4 linked regions of the Cricetulus griseus genome follow. The protein of the gene in region 4 interacts with the protein of the main gene of each other region in a pairwise test. Links are inferred from orthologs where the notes say so. Each region holds a gene or a part of one and is shown on either strand. Other genes may lie near its edges.

Evidence for each region.
Region 1: the proteins of Sdcbp2 (region 4) and Zcchc17 interact in binary tests that used the Homo sapiens proteins (3 or more experiments, as listed by UniProt). The two-hybrid records come from large-scale screens. The link is inferred for Cricetulus griseus from reciprocal best matches to the Homo sapiens genes SDCBP2 and ZCCHC17.
Region 2: the proteins of Sdcbp2 (region 4) and Zrsr2 interact in binary tests that used the Homo sapiens proteins (3 or more experiments, as listed by UniProt). The two-hybrid records come from large-scale screens. The link is inferred for Cricetulus griseus from reciprocal best matches to the Homo sapiens genes SDCBP2 and ZRSR2.
Region 3: the proteins of Sdcbp2 (region 4) and Lyar interact in binary tests that used the Homo sapiens proteins (3 or more experiments, as listed by UniProt). The two-hybrid records come from large-scale screens. The link is inferred for Cricetulus griseus from reciprocal best matches to the Homo sapiens genes SDCBP2 and LYAR.

Annotation. Positions count from the first base shown.
Region 1 is NC_048595.1:22,723,785-22,727,360, reverse strand, and holds part of Zcchc17 (nucleolar protein of 40 kDa), read right to left. Parts: intron 212-3,576; coding exon 111-211; intron 1-110.
Region 2 is NC_048604.1:98,761,291-98,764,866, forward strand, and holds part of Zrsr2 (U2 small nuclear ribonucleoprotein auxiliary factor 35 kDa subunit-related protein 2), read right to left. Parts: intron 3,281-3,576; coding exon 3,171-3,280; intron 861-3,170; coding exon 262-860; 3' UTR 1-261. UniProt on the Homo sapiens protein: Pre-mRNA-binding protein required for splicing of both U2- and U12-type introns. Selectively interacts with the 3'-splice site of U2- and U12-type pre-mRNAs and promotes different steps in U2 and U12 intron splicing.
Region 3 is NW_023276807.1:107,185,668-107,187,980, reverse strand, and holds the end of Lyar (cell growth-regulating nucleolar protein), read right to left. Parts: intron 1,693-2,313; coding exon 1,607-1,692; intron 814-1,606; coding exon 679-813; 3' UTR 506-678; downstream 1-505. UniProt on the Homo sapiens protein: Plays a role in the maintenance of the appropriate processing of 47S/45S pre-rRNA to 32S/30S pre-rRNAs and their subsequent processing to produce 18S and 28S rRNAs. Also acts at the level of transcription regulation.
Region 4 is NC_048599.1:28,455,612-28,457,874, reverse strand, and holds part of Sdcbp2 (syntenin-2), read left to right. Parts: intron 1-167; coding exon 168-326; intron 327-910; coding exon 911-1,086; intron 1,087-1,166; coding exon 1,167-1,338; intron 1,339-2,263.

The sequences.
Region 1 (3,576 bases), on a different chromosome or scaffold from region 4:
TGAATGCAGGTAGCAGTCACTGAAAAACGCACCGAGCTAAACTGACATGGCCTCCTTCAGCCAGTAGACAGTGCACAGGGGAGGAGACAGAAATGGCAGACTTCTCATACCTTTGCAGCCACACTTCTTGCAGGTAGTGTTCAGGACAGCCTCAAGGGTGATCTTCTGCCCAGTGTAATCCTGGAAGGAGCGCCTCCGCCTCTCTTCTTGCCTGTAATGAAAGAGATCCTGACCACTGGAGCTTCTCAGAGAAGTGGTCAGATATATTACAACATAATGCTGCTTGTTGGTTTTCTGTTTTGCTTTTGGCAAGGAAGAGAGGGAGAAAAGAAAAGCATTGGGCAGAAAGAGACAGTGAAATAGCTCCTTCTTTTTTTTGTTTTTTTCCATGTTTACAATAAGCTTTATTTTTGGAGACAGGGTTTCTCTGTATAGCCTGGCTCTCCTGGAACTCACTCTGTAGACCAGGCTGACCTCATGGAGATCCACCTGCCTCTGACTGGGATTAAAGGTGTTCGCCACCACTGCCTGGCCCAGAATGGGGCTTTGAATGAACAATTATGAATGATATTAGGTCTCCTCTCAATAATATACAGAAAAAATATTTGAAAGTTTAATTGGCAGGTGGTGGTGCAGCTTTACAGGCTTTCTAAAAATCAAGTCCAAGTTCCTTATAAGACCTTGGTGTTGGGGCTTTCAGTTTGTCTCAAACATACTTCTCCAGTTTCCTCTTTATTTTACTTAGGCCCTGGCCAACAAGTCAGTTCTCCTTTTCCCAGTGGTTCAGTGCCTTTCCGTAGGCAGATGCCACTTTGAAATGCCCTGCCCTCCCTTACTCTACCTCAACAATGCATTACCCAAACACCGCAAGGTTCTTTTCTTCAAGTCTTCTTCTCTAAGTCCCTAGGCCATAAGAGATTTTTCTATTCCTGTTACACTCTTTTCTTTTCTTTCTTTTTTTTTTTTTTTTTTTTTTTGGTTTTTTAGACCGGGTTTCTCTGTGTCTTTGGAGGCTGTCCTGGAACTAGGTCTTGTAGACCAGGCTGGTCTCAAACTCACAGAGATCTGCCTGCCTCCGCCTCCCGAGTGCTGGGATTAAAGGCGTGCGCCACCACCGCCCAGCTCCTGTTACACTCTTAATGAGCATAATAAGCTCCTGTATAAAAGACTCACATGGAAGCCACTTAGAGCAAGTATGAGCCCACTTAGTTTTCAGTCTGCACTTTCCCATGTAACCAGTACCAGGATGGATAACAACACAACCAACCTCTCTTAAAACAGACATGTCAGCCAGGCAGTGGTGGCGCACGCCTTTAATCCCAGCACTCGGGAGGCAGAGGCAGGTAGGATGTTGGTGAGTTTGAGGCCAGAATGGTCTACAGAGTGAGTTCCAGGACAGCCAGGGCTACACAGAGAAACCCTGTATCCAAAAACAACAAAAACCAATCATCTCATGCTTACTGCTAGTCATCAAGCTTACTCCCAGAGTAACTGCTATTTTTTTCTTCTAACAACACAAAACCACTTTTCTCTTTACAGTAGCTGGCAGTGATGGTACACATCTATAATCCTAGGACTGGGGAGCCTGAGGAGTTTCAAGAGTTCAAGACTAGCCTGAGCAATTTAGCAAAGCTATGTCTCAAAATAAAAGTAGTAGAGTACCTGAGATGTTAACACACTTTTAAGAACAAATGTCTAGCATACAAAAAGCCCTGGTTTCAAAGATATACCCCAACACACGATATTTCCTGTATAGTTCTATTGTCCGTGAAACATATCCACATTGTTGTCTATAGTTATGAATCATTTATTCTCATTGGTGTATGGTATTATTGTGCTGTTGACAAAGACAGTCTTGACTTTACAGAGATCCACCTGCCTCTGCTGGAACTGAAGGCATGTGGCTGCGTGATTAATGAATTAAGATATTAAACTCATGGGGTTGAAGCACTTTTGTGGGTTAAGAGCACTTGTTGCTCTTCCGAAGGGTTGGGGTTTAATTCCCAGCACCAAAATAGTGGCTTATAATCATCTGTACTCTAATTCCAGGGGAACCAACACCCTCTCCTGAACTCTGAGGGCACCAGACACAAGTGGTATGCAAACATACATGCAAGTAAAATACCTATACAGATTTTTAAAAAAAGATATTAAATTCCACTTACTTATTTCTACTGTTTGGGATACTGAAGGCTGAACCTAGGGCTTCATCCACACTAGGCAAGCACTGGATTGTAAGCTTCATCCCCAGCCTCTGTTTACTTTTTGTTTTGAAATAGGAGTCTTGCTAAGCTGCCTGGACTAGCTAGGGCTACGAGTCTGCACCATCAGACCCAGTGCTTAAATTTTACTTAATTTTCATGAATTTACATTTGAATAACCCCATGTTATTTGTGGCTACCTAGGTGGACAGTACAGATAAGCATATAATTTAAGTTCTGAAAATGTTTGCACAAATGTCTGGCCTTTGCCCTAGAAGAATCTAAATGCATAAAGAGTCAACTATCTGGTGTGGGTTATAGAAATGGGCCCCTTCAAAACATAATAAAGTCTGAATAACAAAAACCAAGACAGGCACTGGGAACATAGAGCAAGTTTTCAGGTGTCCTGATTTGAAGAGCAGAGTTCTAAGAGGCCCTGAGCCACAGCTTAAACACGTCCTCGTTAAAATCAATCTCAACACTCTAGGGTTCTAACACACCACATGGCCAGCCAGACCTCCCACACAAGGGTCTCACCTTCAGATCCCTCTCTGCCCTCACTGCTATGTGTAGGTCAGGCTTCATCACAGGTCACATAGAGCGGTGGTTCTCAACCTGTGGGTCACAGCCCCTGTGAAAGGTTGTCTGTCTTTTTTTCATCCAATTCACTCAATTCAATTATTAAGTGGTATGTGCCAGTGTTAGTACTGACAGGAGCAATGAGCCAAGGGCATATGCCTAGGATGTTCTAGGCCTGAGGTTCAATGTCCAGAACTATCATAAAATGCTGGTCACAGTAAGGAAAAGATATCAATGAGGGCCTGAAGAGACAGATTTGACTGGTCACCTCTCCCACTCACAGGACACCCTGATATGCTGTTGCTCTCCTGCCTGTGCCTTTCCTAAGTCATTTCACTTCCCAAAGCACCATTCCTTCTGCTTCTTGAAAATGCCATATCCATTTCTTTTTTGTTTGTTTTTTTGAGAAAGGGTTTCTCTGTGTATCTTTGGCTGTCCTGGAACATGCTCTGGAGACCAGGCTGACCTCAACCTCACAGAGATCCGCCTGCCTCTGCCTCTTGAGTGCTGGGATTAAAGATGTGAGCCATCATGCCCGGCCCATATCCATTCCTAAGACCTAGGTCAAATGTCACCTTCTCGCTGAACATCAAGACCTGAAATAAACTCCTCCTCCTCAAGCTACCAAATGAATGCTCTGATGAAAATAACACTAGCTATGAGATGTAGTGCCAGCCTTTAATCCCAGCACTTGGGAGGCTGAGGCAGGTGGAATTCTGAGTTCCAGGCCAGCCTGGGCTACATAGAGAAACTCTGTTTCGAAAGAACAACAACAAAAATTAAAAACCTCCACTAG
Region 2 (3,576 bases), on a different chromosome or scaffold from region 4:
CCTGAAAATTGTTCTCTGACCTCCGTGCTTGTGATCCACTTACACAGAGAGAGAGAGAGAAATACAGAAAATGAAAAAAATACTAAAGCATTACTCCAATGTTACTTGATGCTCTCAAAGTTAGGACTACAAGTAATTTCATGTTATTATATACACAATTTATCAAAAAGTATGATTTACATAATAGTTTGGCTAGCCTTGTCAAACTATACAGGTGAGTAGCTGCCATAAAAAGACAATGATATTTAAAAACAACCAAGTTTATTTAGATTTGGGACTCTGGGTGGTTTTGTCTCTACTACCTGACTTCTTCCTGCCATGACTCCTGGACCTTGATGAGCTCTGGCTCCGGCTCCGGCTCCGACTCTGACTCCGACTTCGGCTCCCGCTTTGGCTTCGGGTCCGACTGCGGCTGCGGCTTCGGCTCCGGCTCCGGCTGCGGCTCCTGCGGCACCGGCTCCGGCTCCTGCGGTTCCTCCGGCTCTGATTCCAGGGGCATGGACTGTGATCCCTTCTTCTTCCTCTGGTCAGTGAACTGCGCCTCTCACGACTTTTCGTCACGTGTTTGTGAGACTTCTTCCCCCTGTGATTACTCCTGCTCTTCCTGTCAGACTCACCGTTTCTCTTGTAGGAGAGGTCTGGACTCAGGCTCCTTCGTCTTCTTGACCTGCCATAGTATATATCATCATAGTGGCTGGTCCTTTCCCTCCTCTCAAAATTCTTACCGAAGGACGAACTAGTCCAATCTGGAGACTGGTAGATGTCTCTGTTGGCTTCCCTAAATTCGTTGTTGGGATTTCTGAACACGTGAAGAAAGTTGCAATGTTTTCCTCTTGGACACTGCTGTACTTCAAATAATCCTGTGAGGGCAAGTGAAGAGGCAGTGATTATCAGCGTGCATTACTGTAATTCATTCTTTTTCAGAAGGTGAATTTCTGAAGTCAGGGTATGTCTGCACTGTTTCTTACAGTGTATGATGTAGATAAACTGAGGTGGTGCCTAAGATTGCAAGAACACTCGAATACTAAAAGGTACCATAAAAAAGGCTGCAAACTAGCTTTAATTAATCAGAACACCTGTGCCTTGTGTCAGCAGAGTGCAAGTGAACTGATTCAAGAACTGGATTTTGGAATCCCTATATTCACATTTTTCTGAAAGCATAGGTTGGTCAGGAGAAGGTCCAACATGGGAGGGGATTCTGCAATGTTCTATACATAATAAGAACATTAATACCCAGGTATGATGGCACACTTATGTCCACAGCCTGGGGTACATGAGGTCCTGTCTCTAAACACACACACACAAAAGAGAGAGAAAACAAGAAAGAAAGAAATCCTTTGTGGCTAAAGGTAAATAAAGTAAAATGATGAGATAGCATTTGCAGATGACCTCTGTGATCAGGTACTGGTATATAAAATCAAGAATTTCTATAGCTGAATAAAAACAAGATGTAACATGATTAAAAATGGGCAACTATCTAAATAGAGATCTCTCCAAAGAAGATACACCAGATGTCAATAATAAGGACACAAAAAAGTTATTAGTTCCTGAGAAAGATCCTAAAAGCTATTTATATTTTTTGTCATTGATGTTGTTGTTGTTGCTTTTAGTAACATTCCTTGTTTGGCGGTTTCAAAATTGTATTCAAACCTATCACTGAAATCACAGAGTGCATCTTGAGGAACTACCAAAACTATAAGCCTAAAGAGAATACCCTGTCATCTTGCTCATCTGCCCAACCCTTAAACTTAGGGCATAATGTTGGTTCTCATTTTCAAGGAATTCTAAAATTCTCTCTCTCTCTCTCTCTCTCTCTCTCTCTCTCTCTCCTCCTCTCTCCCTCTGTGTGTTGTGTGTGTGTGTGGTGTGTGTGTGTGTGTGTGTGTGTGTCTGTAGACCAGGGTGACCTTGAACTCAAAAAGATCTGCCTGCCTCTGCCTCCCAGGTGCTGGGATTAAAGGCGAGCACCACCACTGTCCAGCTTTTTTTATTTATTTTAAAACTTTTTAAGGTTTATTTAATTTATGTATATGAGTGTTTTGTCTGCATTTATGTATGTGCACCATGTACATGCCTGGTGCCCATGAAGATCAGAAGAGGGTATCAGAATCCCTGAAACAGGAGTTACAGTCAGTGATGAGCCAACATGTAGGTGTTGAGAACTGAACCTGGGTCCTCTATAAGAACAAGTGCTCTTAACCACTGAGCCATCTCTCTAACTCCTCCTTTTTGATAATTGTTACATTAATTAATCAATTAATTAGTTTATTTATTTCAAACCCAAGCTGGCCTTGAACTCACAATCCTTGTGTCTTGACCTACCCCCAATTTTGGAACCAAAGGTGTCATCATACATGCCCATCATAAATGTTTTGTTTTTAATGACAGTATACATTAACAGAAGACTGCTAAAGATTTAGACTTGCTTGATAAAAAGCACCTGAGAAGGAAGAGCAGCGAAAACAAGAAGGCAGAAGCACACACACCCCTGAGGCATTAGAGCTTCATGTCTCTTCACCTGGGGAACTTCCATACTGATTTGGCTAAGCACACTTTTAGAAATCAGAAAATGATGAGGCCATCAAAGCGGCTGGTTACTCTCTGCAGTGCTGAATCATTTCCTGGTTTGGCTGCCGATCTCGGATGAGTCAGTATAACTGAGAGCACCCAATGTGCAACTTAACTCATTCACACCTACCAAACGGTCTCAAATGCACAAGAGCATGACTTCAAGCAATGTGGGCAATGTTAGCCACCAGTAATGTTTGTGGCGTTGATGATGGAAGATTCCTTAGGGATCAAGACTGAAGCAAACAGCTCAAGTGAGGAGAACCAACGAAAACACCTTTGAAACTGCAACACGGATCATGTAGGTATCTTTAGTTTAGACACTGCATTGTCACACACAGAACCCAGGTCTGAGGATCTGAAGACTCAAATTCAAGATGCAATCCTGTTACCAATGTATAGTGACCTCAGTCATTCATCCATATAGTGACCCACAGGCCTGTGCAGATCTAAACTGTGGTGTCCTTTACATAACCACTCTGCTCATCTGTAGTATGAGACAAAAACTGTACTTCATCCCTTTAAAATACTGCTTTCTTCCTATGAAGATTCCCTTGTATAGTGCAGCAGTGGGGGAGGGGTGCCACTACATTGGCTTTTACCACAAATTGCCATTTTCCACCGGGTCACTGGGCAGAATTCGCACTGAAGCTGTCGTCCTGCATACCATCGTCCATTAAAAAGAGAAAAAGCTGCTTGACAGTCTTCTTCCCTTGGAAGCAAAAATCAAAGGTTGTGCTTTTAACTCTCACAGGTAGAGCAAATCTATTCTGAATTAACCCTCTTGTCCATTTACTGTAGGACTACCAAGTCCAGTTCTTGAATTGCCTAGGAAGTCTTCGGAGTATTCAGGTTCCCACAGGCTAGTTTATTCAAAGACCTTGTCATGAACCCTCTGAAAGGTTCTGTCATAGGGAAATTGGCTGGAGTCAAAGCTTCTTAATCTGCAAGATTGGACCACTAAATCTGCAGAGGTGTGTTTCCCCTTGTTAGAACCCATGCTTTCTC
Region 3 (2,313 bases), on a different chromosome or scaffold from region 4:
AGGATGAGTGAATAGTGACACTGCCAAAGGGGTAATTCTTGCTGAAGGCTTAAGGGATTTGTGGGCAAAACACCAGCTCTCAGTAGGTGGTGGTGCAGGGCTCCACCAGGACACACAGTGCCAGCACTGGAGCAGGCGCTGCCGAGAGCATGAGAAGCAGATGGGCTTTCTTATGCTTACAGCCACCCCCACAGGCTACACTTCTCAATGTGTTCCTGACAAGAAGGCTGCATGGGCTAATCTGTTAGACATGTCTCCTCTATAGATTGTCACCTGTGGCTAAACAAGGATCATCACTCCTAAAATCCCAGTCACCACCACTTAGAAATTCACACTGCAGCTCTATCAGGCAGCATCTCTGGTTGGAGGCACACAGAGGGATGTGACTAACCAACACCTCCCCACCTCACCAAATGGGGAAACCCATCTTCACTTGGCATCACATTACATTCTAAAGTTTCCTGCAGTGTTTTCTTTAAGTACATGATTTTTTTTACTATTGATATAGAATTCGACAAGAATATATTTTATTTTTTTCATAAACGTTTTAACAAAAATATATTTTTTCCTTAACTTAAAAATAGTTTCAGAAAGCAAAAATTCGGGTTGTTATAATTCATTACACATTTTACAAACAGTACAGGGAAGCAGTCAAAAGTGTGTGAAGTGACGGTGCATTCACTTCAGAAGCTTGACTCTGTCCTTCAGCACCTTAAAGGTGGGGTTCTTGCTAATTTTCTTGTTGAAGATGGCCAGGAGCTCCTCCTCTGACATGTGATGGTCGCTTGTCACTGCGTGGTACTGAGCTATAACCTTTGCAAAGAGAGACAGATGTCAGATATGGAGGCCTGTTGTAGATGTGCTTGGCAAATCTACCTGTCTAGGCTTCTTTGGGGTTGAAGTACACGGAAAAAGGTGCAGATGTGGGTCCACATTACAAAATAAAAGAAGCCCAGAAGCTGGTCACACAAGCATGTACTGCTTGTGAAGACCCAGCAGCTGCCCATGTGTACACAACTGCACGTCACACACAGCTACAGAATTTTTTTAAAAAAGGCGTGTGTGTGTGTGTGTGTGTGTGTGTGTGTGTGTGTGTGTGTGTGTGTGTGTGTGTGTGTGTGTGTGTGTGTGTGTGTCAGGTGAGATGGCTCAATGGAAGGGACTTGCCGTGCAAGCCTGATGACTTAGTTCAATCCCTAGGGCTCAAATGGTGGAAGGAGAAAACACTCCTTCAAGTTGTACTCTGACCTCCACATTTATGCACACACTCTCATAAGTAAATAGATGCAATAACTGGAAAAAGCACCAGCAACCATTTAATATCAGCAAAAGAGAGCAAAGTATCTAGAAAAATTACTTCTGGTCATTTCCAGTACAGTCAACTGTAGACAGTACATGCAATCTTCAGATAGGTCCAGAGTCAGAGAGCTACCCTAGCTTGGCTGCAGGAGAGTGGGCTTGTTCCAGTTGCACATGTGAACAGCTCTTGACGTCTGTCAGTCTGTCTGTCTGTCTGTCTGAGTGTTTCAGGTTAAACAACACACATACACATTTAGAAACAACCCCTTTCCAGGTGTTCCATGCCTTATTTTGTTGCAAGACGTACCTTTTTCTTTAACTTTTTGATGGATATCTCATTGTCTGGAGCCTGTTTCAGAACGGCTTTAATGGTCCCCTTCCAGTTGAATTTACCTACAACGCAAGGAATGATGAATAAGGCCTTTTGTCTTGCCACCAAAGGGCAAAGAAAAAAATGTCTTCACAGTTGTGTGCTTCCTGGGAAATAACATGACTCTCCCATGAACAAGACCCCAAGTCATTCGCTAGCCCAGTAGCAGAGGCTTCCAGAGACCAACTGTCTTTCAGAAAGCAATGTACCCAGTATGGAGGGATGGTCCTCACAAGCAGCATGATAGGGACAACCTCTGGGGAGAAAGAATCAAAAGACGCACTGAACTAGGCATCCACATACATCCTGTAGTATAGAAGATGCAGCTGAGTTCAGCCTGCTCCTGCTTTTTCTGCTAGGCCAAACTCTAACTGAATGCCAGACTCAGCAAACCTAAAACACGCAAAGGTGGTGACTGGCAGTGTCTCAGGGCCTACCATGGGACAGGCTCTTCTGCTCCACAGTCTAGATTTGGAGCCAAGAAAGCCAGTGACTGAGAAGGCCACCAGGTACAAGCCAGCCTAGCCCACATCTCAGATTCAGCAAATGAGCAAAGAAAAGGAAGGCCTGTCCACCACCAACACTGACAGCACAACCAATAGCTCTTGGTTAGTGCTGTAGCTATGTTCAACCAGTAACCATTG
Region 4 (2,263 bases):
GTGTGTGTGTGTGTGTGTGTGTGTGTGTGTGTGTGTGTGTGTGTGTGTGTGTGTGTGACCTCAGGGACTGTTCCACCCTCTTACTTATCCCTCCCTAGAACCCAGAGGCCCTTGAGGCATGGGCCCCAGGTGCCTGGCTGACCCCCCCCCCACTACTGTGTCTGCAGATGGTGGTCACTAGCCCTGGGCCTGGCCACGTGGTAGCACCAGTCTCTGGGAACAACCTGGGTGTGTTGCGTGCAGAGATCAAGCCTGGGGTGCGTGAGATCCATCTGTGCAAGGATGAGCGTGGCAAGACTGGACTGCGCCTGCAGGCTGTCGATAAGGTAAAGATCTGTGGAGGAGCCCCTGGGGGACAGTGTGCCCCTCTGGTGCTAAGTAGCACTTGTCACAGTCCCAGGGATATAAGCTCCCCTTTGGGGGCAGTTTCCTGGCAGTCTGAGATGGCGTAGTGTATAGGGGCCTCCCCTCCCAGGTCTCAGAGAGCCTCTGTCCACAGTAAGGAAGGTTCCATGCAGGCACCTTAATACCTGAGGCCTCAAGGTATGCCTAGTTGCAGCAGGGATCCTCTTTCAGTCCCATACAAGGCTCCTTTTACTCAGAGCCCCGTTTCCAGTACCCCAACTCCCATGGACCTGGCTTCCTGATGACTGTAGAGAAAGTCAGCCAGATGCCTTTGGGAAGGGTGGTACGGGAGAATTGATTGTGATGCTGAAATCCTGATTTGGCATATGCTGGGTCGTCTGGTGTGTTTCCTCCTCCAGGAAAATAGCCATAACCTGTGTGTCCCCCAGAAGATCTTAGGTCCCACCACACTGTAAGCTCACAGGGTAAGGGGAAAGGGACATCTTAGAGGAGGGGCCTAGGCTCAGGCAGCCAGGGGTGCTGACTCTGGAGTCTTGCTTCCCAGGGGCTCTTTGTGCAGCTTGTCCAGGCCAACACTCCTGCATCCCTCGTGGGGTTGCGCTTTGGGGATCAGATCCTGCAGATTGATGGGTGTGACTGTGCTGGGTGGAGCACATACAAAGCTCACAAAGCATTGAAGAAGGCGTCAGCAGAAAAGATCACCATGATTGTTCGTGACAGGTCAGTAGCCAGGTCCCAGCATCCTCCCTGCCTGGCCCCAGCCACACCCACAAGCCCAGCTTACTGTCACTCTCTACCAGGCCGTTCCAGCGGACTGTCACTATGCACAAGGACAGCTCAGGCCAAGTTGGCTTTTTCATCAAGAAGGGGAAGATTGTATCTGTGGTAAAGGGAAGCTCTGCAGCCCGTAACGGGCTTCTCACTAACCACTACGTGTGTGAGGTGAACGGACAGAACGTCATTGGGCTAAAGGTAGGCACTGTGGAGATGGTAGGGGTGGGGCGGCTCCTGTCTGCATAGGCTGTAGAACCTGCCAGAGCCTCAACATGCCCATCCTAAGGTAGATGGGGGCTTCAGTAGGACTGTGTGGAGCTATGAGCAGTGTCACTCGGAATGAGTAGGTGCCCAATAAGAATCCACTATAGATACTAACACGCAAGATGGGCCAGCAGGTACCCTAATGTGTGAGGACCTGGGCTCACTGGTGGCTGCTGGCCACAAGGACACCTCCTCCTCTGTGTGGCATTTCTCTTTGGATGCTGATCACATTCAGTAATGGGGATTTCCTTTAGAAAACGGTGATGTGGACATCCATTTCTGGCCTTGGCTTATTCAGGGAAGGCAGGTGAATTCTATCTTTACAATGCAAGAAGGTATACCCGGCTTTAGGCTGGTGCTGTAGATGTGGGAAGAGAGGTGTCTTCTGGGAAGGGGCAGTAATGAGCTGTGGTCTGAGACTTGAACAAGTGAGAGCGACCAGTCCTGATTCATGCCACTACAGTGGGAGTGCCTCTCCAGCAGGTGGTGCTCATGGGGCAGGTGGTGGCATCTCACTCCACAGTGGGCCATGTGTCTGCTTCCTTGTCCCTGGCAGTCTCCCTTCACCTTTCATGGAGACTTGTTCTGGTGGCTGTACTATTGTGGCCAGGGAGTTCTATGTCTGAGATCCCTCCTGGTGAGCCTGCTCCCAGTACTCTGTGATCAAGCCTACCAGGCAAAAGGCCATCACCGTCAACGCTTGAAAGGCTGAGTGCAATAATGCCACTCCTGAGCAGCTAGGAGTGGCTTCTTTGAAAAGATAACAGTCAGCCAGGTGGTGGTGGTGCACTCCTTTAATCCCAGCACTCGGGAGGTAGAGGCAGGCAGATCTTTGTGAGTTCAAGACCATACTGGTCTA